4 separate regions of the Mus musculus genome follow, and regions 1, 2 and 3 are each reported to be linked to region 4. The links are microRNA targets in miRTarBase. Many come from high-throughput screens and were not tested one by one. Region 4 holds a microRNA gene; each other region holds the end of a gene's coding sequence.
What was found. The annotated mature microRNA mmu-miR-665-3p reads ACCAGGAGGCUGAGGUCCCU and lies in region 4 at 1,425-1,444, shown strand. An mRNA with a match to its seed (bases 2 to 7 or 8) in the 3' UTR can be bound and repressed. Matches are read on the target gene's strand: a 7mer-m8 pairs with bases 2 to 8, a 7mer-A1 pairs with bases 2 to 7 and ends in A, and an 8mer does both.

Region 1 (3,067 bases), not on the chromosome of region 4:
TGAGATTTTTTTTTTCATCTGTAGGATTTTGGGCGGACAAGGAAGAGCTCCAGAAGCTGAGGCAAAGCGAGATGGTTTTCAAGCCTCAGAAGAAGTGGCAGGAATACGAGGTGAATATGGAAAACTGGGTAAAAGCGGTGAAGCGCTCCATGAATTGGTATAACAAGACGTAGCCCCGAGGAGCCAAGGAAAACCTGCAGGCCGGGGGACAGGATGTGCCGGTGGGGGCTGCACAGGGGTCACCGTGTGACTGTGGCCGAGAGGAAAAGATTCGAAACAAGCCTTGCAGGCTGAAAGAAGAAGCCAGGCTCTTTTAAACAAAACAAAACAAAACAAAACAACCTCACATACAAAAAAAAATACTTCTTATTTTTTAAATTCAAATCATAGTGAAATTTTTAGGCAGCAAGACCTCAAAATTGAGTCTTCTTTCTTCTGGCGATTTCCAAAGGACACTGTCCACTTCTAACTGCATTTCAGATACTTGTGAGTCCTCTTTTTTTATACAGGGAGAATGGCACATACTTCATAGTCATTGTTTACCCTAATGGTTCCGGGTCACATTTTGTTAAAAATGATGAAATGTTTTCTTAAATTTGAAATCAAGAGGGCTCTTTGAAACCCACATAGCTAAAACGAAGAGGTAGTTGAGAGGACGTTTTATATATAAAGCCATAATTGTCAAGTGTCATATCCTCAGATAAGCTCTGACGTCACTCTTCAGTGACCTCCTTAGTCAGCGCACGCGTTCCTTTGTCATGCATAAAGACACGGCCTTAATTCTTCTGCACAACCTGAGCTGTTTCGTTGTTTTCATTGAGGCACAGTGTCACCACGTAGCCCAGGCTAGCCTGAAACATGACCTTCTTCCTCATCTCTCAGATTCTAAGATTATAGGCGGGCACCATCGTGCCTGGGTGGGCACTCAGCATACATTGAGGAACGCATCTCAGTGGACTGAAAGGGATGTTGAGGCTGGGCATGGTGGCAAATATGGGGACTTTCGAGGCTGCGGCCAGGGGAGCTTGAGCTTGGAGCCTGTCCAGACGATGCAGTGAAGTCCAGGCAATCTGGGTGACACAGTGAGGCCTTGTCTTTGAAAATATCTCATTTGTTTGAGAGAAGATCCTGTTTAGCCCATGCCAGTTTCTAACTCTTGAACCCCCAACTTTAGTCTCTAGAGTTGTGTGTCACATTCTATTTTTATAAAATGCAAGCAGTTAATGTAAACCTTTCTTCCTGGCTCTTTATCTTTCTTGACTTGTTGAAATGCTCGCATAAATGTCCCCTTTTTAAAAAGTGCCTACTTCACAGAGTTTAATTATTGTTAGTTTTGTTTGTTTGTTTGTTTGTTTGTTTTGGCAACCGAGTCTCATTATGTAGCTCAGGCTAGCCTAAAACTCCCGAACCTCTTGACTTAGTCTCCTGAGGTGCCAGGTTTGTTGGCGCTTACTCTGACATCACAGTTTATGTTGAAGCACCCCAGCTTATCAGTAACTTAAGAATTGCCTTTCTGGGTTACTTGATGTGACTTTTGGTATTTGTCCTGCTCACCTCTGAGGGATAGCAGAGGCTGGCAGATCAGGTGATGGAATGTGTCTTGGTGACAATGGCTGTAAACCAGTCAGCCACTAAGCAGCAGTCCCCTGTTAGGAAACTTCGTGGCTGGAAGCAGGTGGAGGAGTCAGTAGAGAGAGGCCTCAGACTGGGTATAAAATTGTCCTGGGGTGGTTGGCAGTGCTCCAGCCTCTTTTACTAAACTCTGTTGCCTCTCACGTCATGGAGATTTGGATTTTCTTGAGGTACATGAACTTGCCCCCATCTGGTCCATATCCCATAAAAGTGCTACTGTTCTAGAACTATCTACTACATAATTACCTCACTAAAGGAGCAACTCTTAAGAGGGAATGTTATATTTCTGTCATATGTTCATTTGGGAGTCAGTTATTCTAGAATAACAGGTACATTGTGTTTTTTTGCAAATTATTTTCTTGGGCTCCCAGTGTCTTCAATTGTTAAAAATGTTTCTTAATGGCAACATTATAGCAAACATGTAGCTTCGTTTATTCTATTAACTTTTGGAGACAAGCCAACAAGATGTCTCAGCAGGTAAAAGCACTTGTTACACAGGCTTACCAGCCTGAGTTAAATCCCCAGAAGGAACGTGTGTCCAGGTAGAGGAAGAAAACTGACTCCAGAGTTTTCTTATGACTTCCACGTGTACATGGTGCTGTGCACACTTCCTCCATAATAATACTACAAAGTCTAAAAGGCTTGGAAAGGTCTTTGTTAGAGGTGCATTTGTTTACTGTAGCAAACCAGATCTTAGGTAGAAAATATCTTTTTCTTTCTCTTCTGCAGCATCGTTGCAGGTTTCCCATAAATCTTGTGAGAACTGCTTTATGTGGAGGTTTTTACAGGTTCTGCTGATAGGTTCCTAGGATGTAACTCGGTCCCTTTGTATCAGGAGAGACTAAACTGTGATGTTAACTATGAACGGTCTCTTTGCCGTTCCTTCCCTACACTCTTCCTAACTGACAGCTGTGCAGTCAGGGATAAATGCCCTTCAGATACTGTGAAAAACACCTAATGTGTCATCTGGATTGAAACATCGACTTTCTTTCTTCCTCCGTGGCTCTGGATGCTACTCTTTTCCTTTTTTCATTTCTGGCCATATTTTAATGACAGGGCTTAGTGATGCTTGTAATCATTAAGTAAAATCAGAAATGTTATGTCATTTGCTTTTGAGGTCGCAGGAACAGTTGTTAATCAAAAACAGTTGAAGAATATTGTCCCTTCATCTGCCTCTTGAAAATAATTTCTAATATGCTAATATTTCTCAGCATATTTTCTCTTCCTTTTGTAAATCTACCAGGCATTTTAAGAGGACTCCAGCAAACTCAGAAAGGACAGTGTTCCTGTCTTAACGTGGCACTAACTGCATTATCTATGACTTACTGATCTTCGAGTCTCTTGTATTCATCAGTGGTATGGTTTCTCAGTGTCAGCATTGATCTTTGTTTTGTTTTTATGACAGGGTCTCAATGTGTAGCCCTGGCTGTCCTGG
Region 2 (3,078 bases), not on the chromosome of region 4:
AAGGTCAGGGAACAATCTTGGGAGTCAGTCCCTTCTTTCCAGTGTGTGGAATCACTGAAGATTCAACTAAGAATCCTTGGGCTTGGTAGCAAGTGCCTTCGCCCACTGAGCCAGCCATCTTGCCAGCCAGCAAATGGTTGTTATACTGTGTTGTTAAGTGGTTTATGACAAAAAGATAAAGAAAAAAGAAAAACCTCTGTCTATGCTTAACACAGATTTGGCATTTTCATCCCTGAATATTGTTGGTCTATGGTTGGTAGCCTTTAAGCACTGAGAACCCAGGGTGCAGGCTGACTGGTGATATCACATTCTCATTGGGTATGTCTTGGTCCCCATGGGAAAGGGAGTTGTCTCACACTGAAGGGGAATGGAGTTTTATGAGATTTTGGGTTTGTCATTCAACTGTGTGTTCTTTTTTGGCATTTAGGGAAGAAGCTGGACTTGGCGTCGGTGGACCTGTGGAAGATGAGAGTGGCAGAGCTAAAGCAGATCCTTCAGAGATGGGGGGAAGAGTGCAGGGCATGTGCGGAGAAAAGTGACTACGTGAACCTCATTAGAGAGCTGGCCCCCAAATATGTAGAGATATACCCCCAAACGGAGCTCTGACCCCGTCGGCTGTCAGGAAGCATGGACTGCAGTTAGAAGAAAATGACTGTCTAAGATGAGAGTGTGCTGGTTAGGGCTAACCAGGGACTGCCCAGTTGGCCGTCAGTTTTGCTGTTGTATTGTGGAGTTGTGTTGTTTAGGCATATGATCAACCCGTGCTTCCTCATGGTCGCTAAAATTGCAGAGCACAGAGACCTCAAGGTGCTTTTCTCATCCTTCTTGGAGGATGCAGTGGTTGCCTTTGCATTGCTATGACAATAATGCTTATTGAGAGAGGCTGGCCATGGCCACATGGAGAGAGGGGGAAGGGAGTGAGAGAAAGAGGGCTAGAGATGAGAGTAAGAAAGGTGAGGGCTTAAAGAGAGAGAGGAAGGGCCAAGCAGCCCCCTTTATAGTGGGCTGGGCTACCTTGCTGTTGCCAGGTAACTGAAACAAGTGTGGGGAGGGAAGAGTCACTTGGGCTCAGGGATTTGGTCCATCACAGCAGGGTAGCTAAGGGCAGCACAGCTCAGAGCAGGGCGACAAGAGCTTGTCATAGAGGCTGTTGTGATTATAGAGAGGCAGAAAGTGATGTCCAAATAATGATAAGGCTGTAACCTTCAAAGGGATAGCCCTATTCATCCACTTCTGTCAGTCAGACACCCACCTCACAGTTTCCCCAAATTACCACTAGCTAGGGAACAAACCTTCAAATCAAACCGATGCCAGGTGTGGTGGTGAATGCCTTTAATGCCAGCACTCTGTCTGGAGGCAGATCTCTGTGAGTCTGAGGCCAGCCTGGTCTACAAAGTGAGTCTAGGACAGCCAGGGTCACACAGAGAAACACTGTTTTGAAAAACAAACAAACAAACAAACAAACAGACAAACACTAAAATAAAATCCAACCAATGAACCAACCAAACAACCAAACAACCCAAACCAAACAAAAAACTGAGCTGGAGGAGGACAGTTCAGATCCAAGGCACAGCAGAAGGACAATGTAGTTTATCACTACTGACTCAAGTGTGCTATGGATATGATGGGATAATACATTTTAAGGAAGGAAAGAGACAAGAGGCATCTCTTTGGTCAAGGTTTTTAAAAAGAGTGCATAACAGAAACTATAGCTTATCTAATGTGCGACTTCAATCTCAATAACCACCTAACATAGTTCAGAAGGTTCTTGTTTCATTTTGCTTTTTAAAAATAGATTTTTTAAAAAACTTCATTCACTCTAAATATTTTCTCTCTTTTGCACAGCAAGGAGGGAAGCATTCATTACTTTATAGGCTCTTGAGACAAAATACCTAAAAAAACAATCGAGAAAGGAGTTAATTTAGTTCATGGTTTGAGATTACAGTTCATCACGGCAGCAGGAGTGTGAGGCCATTGGTCAAACTCATCCATGTCCTAGAAGCAGAGATGGAAGTAGATGCTCTGCTAGCTGTCAGTCTGACCCCAGCACGGGAATGCCACTGCTCACATTCAGGATGGGGTCTTCCTTCCACAGTTAAACTCTCTCTAGCAACGCCCTCCCACTCGTGCCCAGAGGTATGTGTCACCTAGGCAATTCTAAATTCCACCAAGTTAACAATGGCGATTAAGCATTGCACAGCACGAATGGAAGTTTCCGTTTCTCATATAAAGAAAACTGATCGGAAGAATACAAATCAGCAATCCATAAAAAGTCTGTGCTTGGCCTATTTATAACTACCTTTTTTTGTTGTTGTTTTTTGTTTTTTGTTTTTTTGTTTTTTTGTTTTCTTGAAGCAGGATTTCTCTGTATAGTTCTGGCTGTCCTGGAACTCACTCTGTAGACCAGGCTGGCCTCAAACTCAGAAATCCGCCTGCCTCTGCTGGGATTAAAGGCGTGCGCCACCACGCCCGGCTTGTAACCACCTTGAATTGCCACGTGACCCAAGCTCAGAGTCTTCTTCACTGCCCCGTGTCAGGCAGGATGAAAGCATGCTCCCCACGTGCAGGCAGCAGGGGCGCTTGTGGTTTCTAATGCTAGCCTATCAGTCTTAAGAAGCAGGCAATGTTTCAGCTCCATTCTCTGTCCATAGATCAATAAGAAGCACATGGTTAAATGGTTGCCTTTGGGAAATAGGTCAGGGTGTGGCTACTCAAGAAAGCATTCTCTTTAAAGTTTCTGGGGTGATGGGACTGTACTTTATCAAGGCAGGAGGTGAGAGATATGATCATCATATTGATATAGAGGTACAATTAAGATGTGGGTATTCTATTGTACATCAATTCTATTTCATAAAAAGTTGTAGGAGCTATTTGAAAATTACCCAAAATTAATTGATTAAAAGCAACTGTTCTTTTAAATAATCAAATGTACTCATAGCCATCTTTTTTGTAGAGTAGAGAATAACTTAAATTCAGATAATAAATATACATTGACAGAATAAGGTTTATTTTTAAATGGTGCAAGGGAATGCATTTTCAGCTAAGCAATTGGGGTAAACGTGAGTTTGTTAGAGAAGT
Region 3 (3,078 bases), not on the chromosome of region 4:
ACTAACTGTACTGTAGAAACACAGCAGGCACTATAAGAGACACATCATTCAGTTCCTCCAGAGGGCTCAGTTCAGTTCCCAGGACCTACATGGTCACAATTGTCCCTAAATCTAGTTCCAAGGGATCCAGCATCTTCTGGCCTCCGTGGGCACCAGGCATGCACGCAGATGCAGGGGAGACACTCATAAATCTTAAAGCAACCAAAACCAAGACAAACAAACAGGGCAGTGTGGTAAGAGTTACTTATCTATCTTGCACAAAATTCCAGCTGCTCTATTTCAAGACTAGAGCAGGTGGGGTACAGTGATATATGCCTTTAATCCAAGCACATCTCCCAGATTCACAAGGTGAGAGCTTATAACAAAACAAAAACTAGAGCAGAAAAGTGTAATGGGTTCCAATGCCTTCTCCCAGGTGGCTTTCCACGAAGCCAGCAGTCCAGGCAGGGACTGACACTGGAAGTGTCAGATACTCACTAACCCAGGAGAGGAAACTGGTTATTACTGATGAAGATGTTGGTATTTTGCCCTACATAACTCCATTTTTTCCTGTTTGTTTTCTAAGTTACTATGTGTGTGCATATGTGCACACCCCGAGGCCAGGCAAGGATGCTAGATCTCCTGGAGGTGGGGATACAGGTGCTTGTGAGGCACCCAATGTGGGTACTAGGGACGGAGCTGAAAAAGCAACAGGTACTTCTAACCACTGTCTCTTAGAGCATAGGCTGAATATGTAGCTGAAGATGACCTTCAACTTCTGACTCTCCCTGCTCCACCTCTCACGCGCTGCTATTATAGGGGTGTGCCTCCACAAGTGGCTGCTATTATAGGGGTATGCCTCCATGTGTGGCTTTTCTTCCCCACCCCCCCATCAAAAGCAGCCTTGAAGTGAACTCTGAAGACACAAAACAAAGCTGAGCCACCGATCATCAGCTTTATTCCAGGAGCGTGGTCAACTCTTTGACTTCCCTGCTCAAAAGAACAAGCAGTCCCCAAGTTCATAAGCAAGGTCAAACTTGGGATTCTTTCTGTGCAGCATACAGAAGCCCAGACAGGAGTACACACACCTAACACAGAAGCCCAAACAGGAAAACACACACACACCCCACACAGAAACTCAGACAGGAATGCACACACACCACACAGAAGCCTATACAGGAGTGCATACACACACCACAGAAGGAGCCCAAACAGTAGTGCATACACACCACACACAGAAGCCCAACCCTAGACTACATAGCTAGTTCTAGCCCAGCCATGGTTACATGGTGAGATCCTGTCTCAATAAAATAAGTAAAAAGATTAGATGTGTTGAGGCTCTAGCTCAGTAGTAGTAAAGTGTGTCCTAACACACATGAGGCCCTGGGTTTGAGGCACAGCATCCTCCTTGCAGCCCCTCAAAAAAATTATTAAGATTTTAAAACTAAGAAAAACAACAGCCCTCGTGGCTCACCTTATGGAGAGCTTCAGTGCAGAGAACTGGCCTGGCATGAGAGACCTTGGATTCTACCCCTAATGCCACGCAGAAAATTATACCAATGAGATTTAAAACTTGCCCACCACCAAGCATGATGGCCAACACCAGCAATCCCAACACTGGGAGGCTAAGGCAGGAGGATTGCAAGTTTGAGGCCAGCCTGGGCTAACTGAGCAAAACTCTGTCTTTAAAAAAAAAAAAAAAAGCTAAGCATGGTGATGCATGCCTTTTAATCCCAGCACTTGGGAGACAGAGGCAGGCGGATTTCTGAGTTCGAGGCCAGCCTGGTCTACAAAGTGAGTTCCAGGACAGCCAGGGCTATACAGAGAAACTCTGTCTCGAAAAGCCAAAAAAAAAAAAAAAGGTTTTAACAAAGCTGCTTTCCTCCAGCTGTGCTACAGGATGTCTATAGGGGCCTATAGGGACAATAGATTTGATGTACTGGACCTCAAGATCTCACCAAGGCTCAGACTGTTAGTTTTAAAAGGCTTTAGCCCTAAGGCACACACCTTAGATCCCAGCACTTGGGAGGCAGAGGCAGGAAGATCTCTGTGAGTTCAAGACCAACCTGGTCTACAAAGAGAGTTCTAGGACAGTCAGAGTTACACAGAGAAACCCTGTCTACAAAAACAAAAAAAAGAAAAAAGAAAGAAAAGTATTAAAGATTTTAGCCTTGCTATAGCTCAGGAGAAAAAGCACAGGTTGTGGATGAAAAACCAAATTACTGTTATGTGCTTGGCTTTGATAGGCTGAAAGAAATGGCCCAGCCATATAAATGGTGGCATGGAATGACAGCTTGGTTAAAATTAGTTCTCACTCCATGTATGGATCCTTCAACTTCTCTTCAGAGAGAGAAGTCCTCAGACCTTGGCTAAGAATGGCTCCTGCATCCACCCCATCAGTCAGGCAGCCACACACACCTTAAAGCCAGAGCTGGCCCATCAAGCTTGAAAGCAAGAGACAAGAGAATAAGGTGTCAGAATATTTCTAGTAAGACTGGAAATACAGAAGGTTAACTAAGGTCAATTTAAACAGTCTCAGAAGAAAGAAACCAGAGGTCTCATGAAAGGAAAAAAAACAAAAAAACAAAAAGAAAACAAAAACAAAAGGCTCACAGCATCCACGAATGAGCACATAAAGGGAACAGGGAGTGGATCAGATGCACGGAGCTCCTCCACGCTGAGGTGGGTATCTGACCACAAGAACTGTTCGTCACCGTGTTCCCGAAGCACTTCTCCATGAAGGTGCACCTTCTTCTCCCAGACGTAAGTGAGACAAGAGCCCAGCCCAACCTCAGGGATCCAACAGTCCACGGCCATCTCCTTAGCTGTCCCTCTTCCCGAGGCTCCACTCTGGCACGGTGCTCCCATTTTACCGCCAGGCTCGATTGAGGAGTTTCACCTGTGCCAGCCTCTTTGTGATCATGGTGGCAAAAACCAGGCCAAAAAGGACACTGCTGATGAGCACATAGTCGTAGTCATCTTTCAGGACATCAAACTGCTTGGACGGGTAAACTCGAGTTTGGTAAATATCCAAACCGTAGGCCACAACCTAAAAGACAGCTAGAATGAGAACTGGGGATAAAGACAGCCAGTGAGCAG
Region 4 (3,078 bases):
ATACCCTGCTCTCTGAGACTATGCTGGGACAAGTGTTTGTTGGCAGTTGGTGGGTGTGCCAGACAAGGAAGAGAAGAGCACAAGTCAGGAAAGATTTTTTTTTTTTACTTTATTCATATGTAAGGTGATACACATGTGCCATTCAAGCTGGCCATGGTGACAGAGGCCTGTCAATCATAGCCACACTTGGAAGCCTGAGGCAGGAAGATGGAGAAGTCGGGATCCACTCTGGATTACACAGATCCTGTTTCAAAAACAAACAAACAAACAAAAAAACTAACAGGCAAGCAAAAGCAGTTTGTGGTTTTTAGTTATTCATGGAGGAGTGTAACTCAAGTTGACACTCAAAGAACCTGGGGAGCGGTTGTTAGCTGTACCTGCAGTTTGTCCCCTCACCACACTGAGTAGCTTTTAACCCATGCATCTTTTTGGGGGATCCATCTGGGGCGTCTAAGCTCCTGCTGGTTCCCATGAGTCCCTTCTAGGTCTGCAGAGGAACCCACTGGATACTCGGGATGGACCTTAGCAGGACACTCCTGTGACCACAGTCACCCTTCCTTCCCTCTCCGCTTCCCCACCCCTCCTTCAGTGCTCCCTTGCCCCTCCTCTCTCCCTCCCATCCCTCTGCTCCCTCTCCCCCCTCCTCATCCCCTGGATTGGCTCCAGTCACTCCATGAGAGTTTATAAGAAGTGAGGTTGGGCAAGGAGGGTAGATGCTTCCACTGTGCTGCAGGTGCCCTAGGGCTGGCTGGCCTTTGGTTTCCTTCCTCTAACACTAAGCCCTGGGAGTCTGTCCTACCTGTTGTCTGTGCTTCTTGCCTTGCTTTTTCAGGAGAGGAGGGTCCCAGTGTAGTGAGAAGTTGGGGGGTGGGAACGGCGTCATGCAGGAGTTGATTGCACAGCCATTCAGCTCCTATATGATGCCTTTCTTCACCCCCTTCAACCGCGTGAGGCCTCCGGACCCTCCTCCGCGCACCTTGGGCCGCTTAGGGACGCGTCTTCAGCTCGCTCTTTTCCCCTGGCATGCTTTCTCGCCATTCTCCACAGTTCCTGGAGGGGAATACCCGGGGCTGGGCCATACCTGAGATCATTCCTTGGCGGGGGAGCTATACCCCTGGTGGGACATTCCCTGGGGCTGGGCCAAGGGTCACCCTCTGACTCTGTGGCCAAGGGTAGACAGGTCAGAGGTCGATCCTGGGCCTACTCTGGGGCTCCTCCCACTGGGATTCCAGGAGCCGTTCTCTCCTGGAGGTCCTCTGAGGGGACCCAGCTCCTAGCAGAAAGGGTGGATCCTTGAGAGATGGGGTCTTTGTTACTAGAGCAGGGCACAGGGCTGAGACAGGGCAGGGCTGAGCATTACCAGTGCTCCCAGAACAGGGTCTCCTTGAGGGGCCTCTGCCTCTATCCAGGATTATGTTTTTATGACCAGGAGGCTGAGGTCCCTTACAGGCGGCCTCTTACTCTCTCCTTGAGCCCTTCTGGAGACGTCTCACCTCATTCAGTTCAAACTCTGGATCCCCTAAGGAGTGCAGAAGATCCCTGTTCATCCTCCTCCCAGGCCGGGTGCCCACAGACACTTCAGTAGCACAATGAGCAGCTGGCGTAGAGTCTGAACCCCAATACCTAGGTCATTGCATGCATACAGGGCCCATCTCCATCCCCACAACACCACCATTATTAACTGCATTTACCAGCTATGGCAGCCAGCCCCGGCACACAGGAGCACCCTGAGTGAATAGCCTGGAAGCTGTGAAAGGATTTGAGGGCAGGACAGGGAGGACCCAGGCCACACCCAGTCCCCCTCCCCTTCACCACTGTCTCTCCCTTCCCTGTCCCCCCCTCTGCCCCCAATCTCCTTCTTCCTACTTGTGCTCCTGCACGGTCTTGGTGGCAAGATGGTCATGCGTGTCTCTCAGCTCACACAGGTGGATCAAAGTCCAGATGAGGTTTGCTGCTCAGGTCTCAGATCGTGTCTAACGATGTGGTCCCCTGGGCCCAGCACCAGGGCTTAAGGTGTATGGGACAGTTGAGGGGTGGGTAATATTTTCTTTTCCTTTTCTTACTATGGGGGTAGCCCAAGTTAGCCCAGGTTACCCAGGCATGTGGAGATCTCTGCTCCAGCCTGGTGAGGAGCTGGTAAAACTCTGGACTCAGGGTCCTGTGTGTGTGCTGTCACTGGCTCTGGTACCTGCAGGGACATCTTATAAGGGGAAGCAATGGAGAGGACAGGGAAGGTGGGCAAGGGAGGGCCCCTGCTCCTCTTTGTTCCTGGATGCTGTCAGAGCTCTCTGGTTGGGGACTGAAGCTGGGAAGTGGGGGCAGCTCCTTGGTGGGTGGAGTCTGCAGCCAGGGCCTGGCCTCTGGTTTTCACCTTGACAGGGTTGGAAGTGATGTTATCATCCCCTAGCAGGAACTTTCACACCAATTTCTTTCTTTTCTTTTCTCTTCCCCAGGAGAAAAAAAAAGGTTTGTGTTGTGTTTTTCAATCTCTATAAGTGGCTCCGCCGATAACCTGATAACCTACCGTTTTAGCACGTTTTAGCACGTCACCAGCTCTCTTCACAGTCCGGACCACCTCCTTTTGCTGTTAATGGGGACAAATCCCTGCTGGGTAGATTGGTAGGCCTGCGGGCCTTTATTGTCCTTTATGGTCTGTGTTCGTGCGGGCTGTGGGTAAACGCACCTCTGCAGTCAACATCACTGGCAGCCTCTTGGCGGGCTGCTGGCTCACTGAGTTCTCCTTCACTCTCACTTGCTTGGGGCCCTCAGGGCCTTGGGGCCCCTGGCAGTAGTCCTGACCTAAGTCATCTCTGCATTCACTGGGCCAGAGAAGTCCTCACCAAGCAGGGACAGGATTGTTTTGTTTTGTTTTGAGGCCCAGTTTTGTTGGAGGTGCCCAGGTAAACTAAGTGAGGGTACAGGACTGGTACGTTTGTTCTCCTCCAATAGGACCCCAGTCCCACCTTAAGGTTATGGACGCTCCTTAGGAACAGGAGGAAGTGCTGAGTGAGGCTGAGCCCCTGACCTTGAACCTGGGATCCTATCCATGATCTCCTGGTGCTACCGTCAGGGGTAGAT

Region 1: miRTarBase lists Gk5 as a target of mmu-miR-665-3p. The part of its 3' UTR that is shown has no 7-base or 8-base seed match.
Region 2: the mRNA of Cdnf is a reported target of mmu-miR-665-3p. Seed matches in the 3' UTR shown: 7mer-A1 at 2,383-2,389.
Region 3: miRTarBase lists Emc1 as a target of mmu-miR-665-3p. Seed matches in the 3' UTR shown: 7mer-A1 at 1,780-1,786, 8mer at 940-947 and 7mer-m8 at 482-488.

Annotation. Positions count from the first base shown.
Region 1 is chr9:96,178,897-96,181,963 of GRCm38, forward strand. Gk5 (glycerol kinase 5 (putative)) reads left to right here. Exons shown (of 16, transcript NM_001368879.1): 16 at 25-3,067. The coding sequence ends at 173. Among named protein-coding and RNA genes, the nearest start is that of Tfdp2, 16 kb to the right of the region's middle.
Region 2 is chr2:3,523,384-3,526,461 of GRCm38, forward strand. Cdnf (cerebral dopamine neurotrophic factor) reads left to right here. Exons shown (of 4, transcript NM_177647.4): 4 at 428-2,993. The coding sequence ends at 606. Among named protein-coding and RNA genes, the nearest start is that of Cdnf, 12 kb to the left of the region's middle.
Region 3 is chr4:139,375,296-139,378,373 of GRCm38, reverse strand. It overlaps Emc1 (ER membrane protein complex subunit 1), which reads right to left. Exons shown (of 24, transcript NM_146157.4): 24 at 1-3,028. The coding sequence ends at 2,849. Among named protein-coding and RNA genes, the nearest start is that of Ubr4, 3.8 kb to the left of the region's middle.
Region 4 is chr12:109,584,944-109,588,021 of GRCm38, forward strand. Mir665 (microRNA 665) reads left to right here and starts at 1,371; the gene lies at 1,371-1,464. Mir337 (microRNA 337) reads left to right here and starts at 846; the gene lies at 846-942. Mir3544 (microRNA 3544) reads right to left here and starts at 930; the gene lies at 870-930. It overlaps Mir540 (microRNA 540), which reads left to right and starts at 1,137; the gene lies at 1,137-1,203. It also overlaps Mir3070a and a transcript of Rtl1 not described here.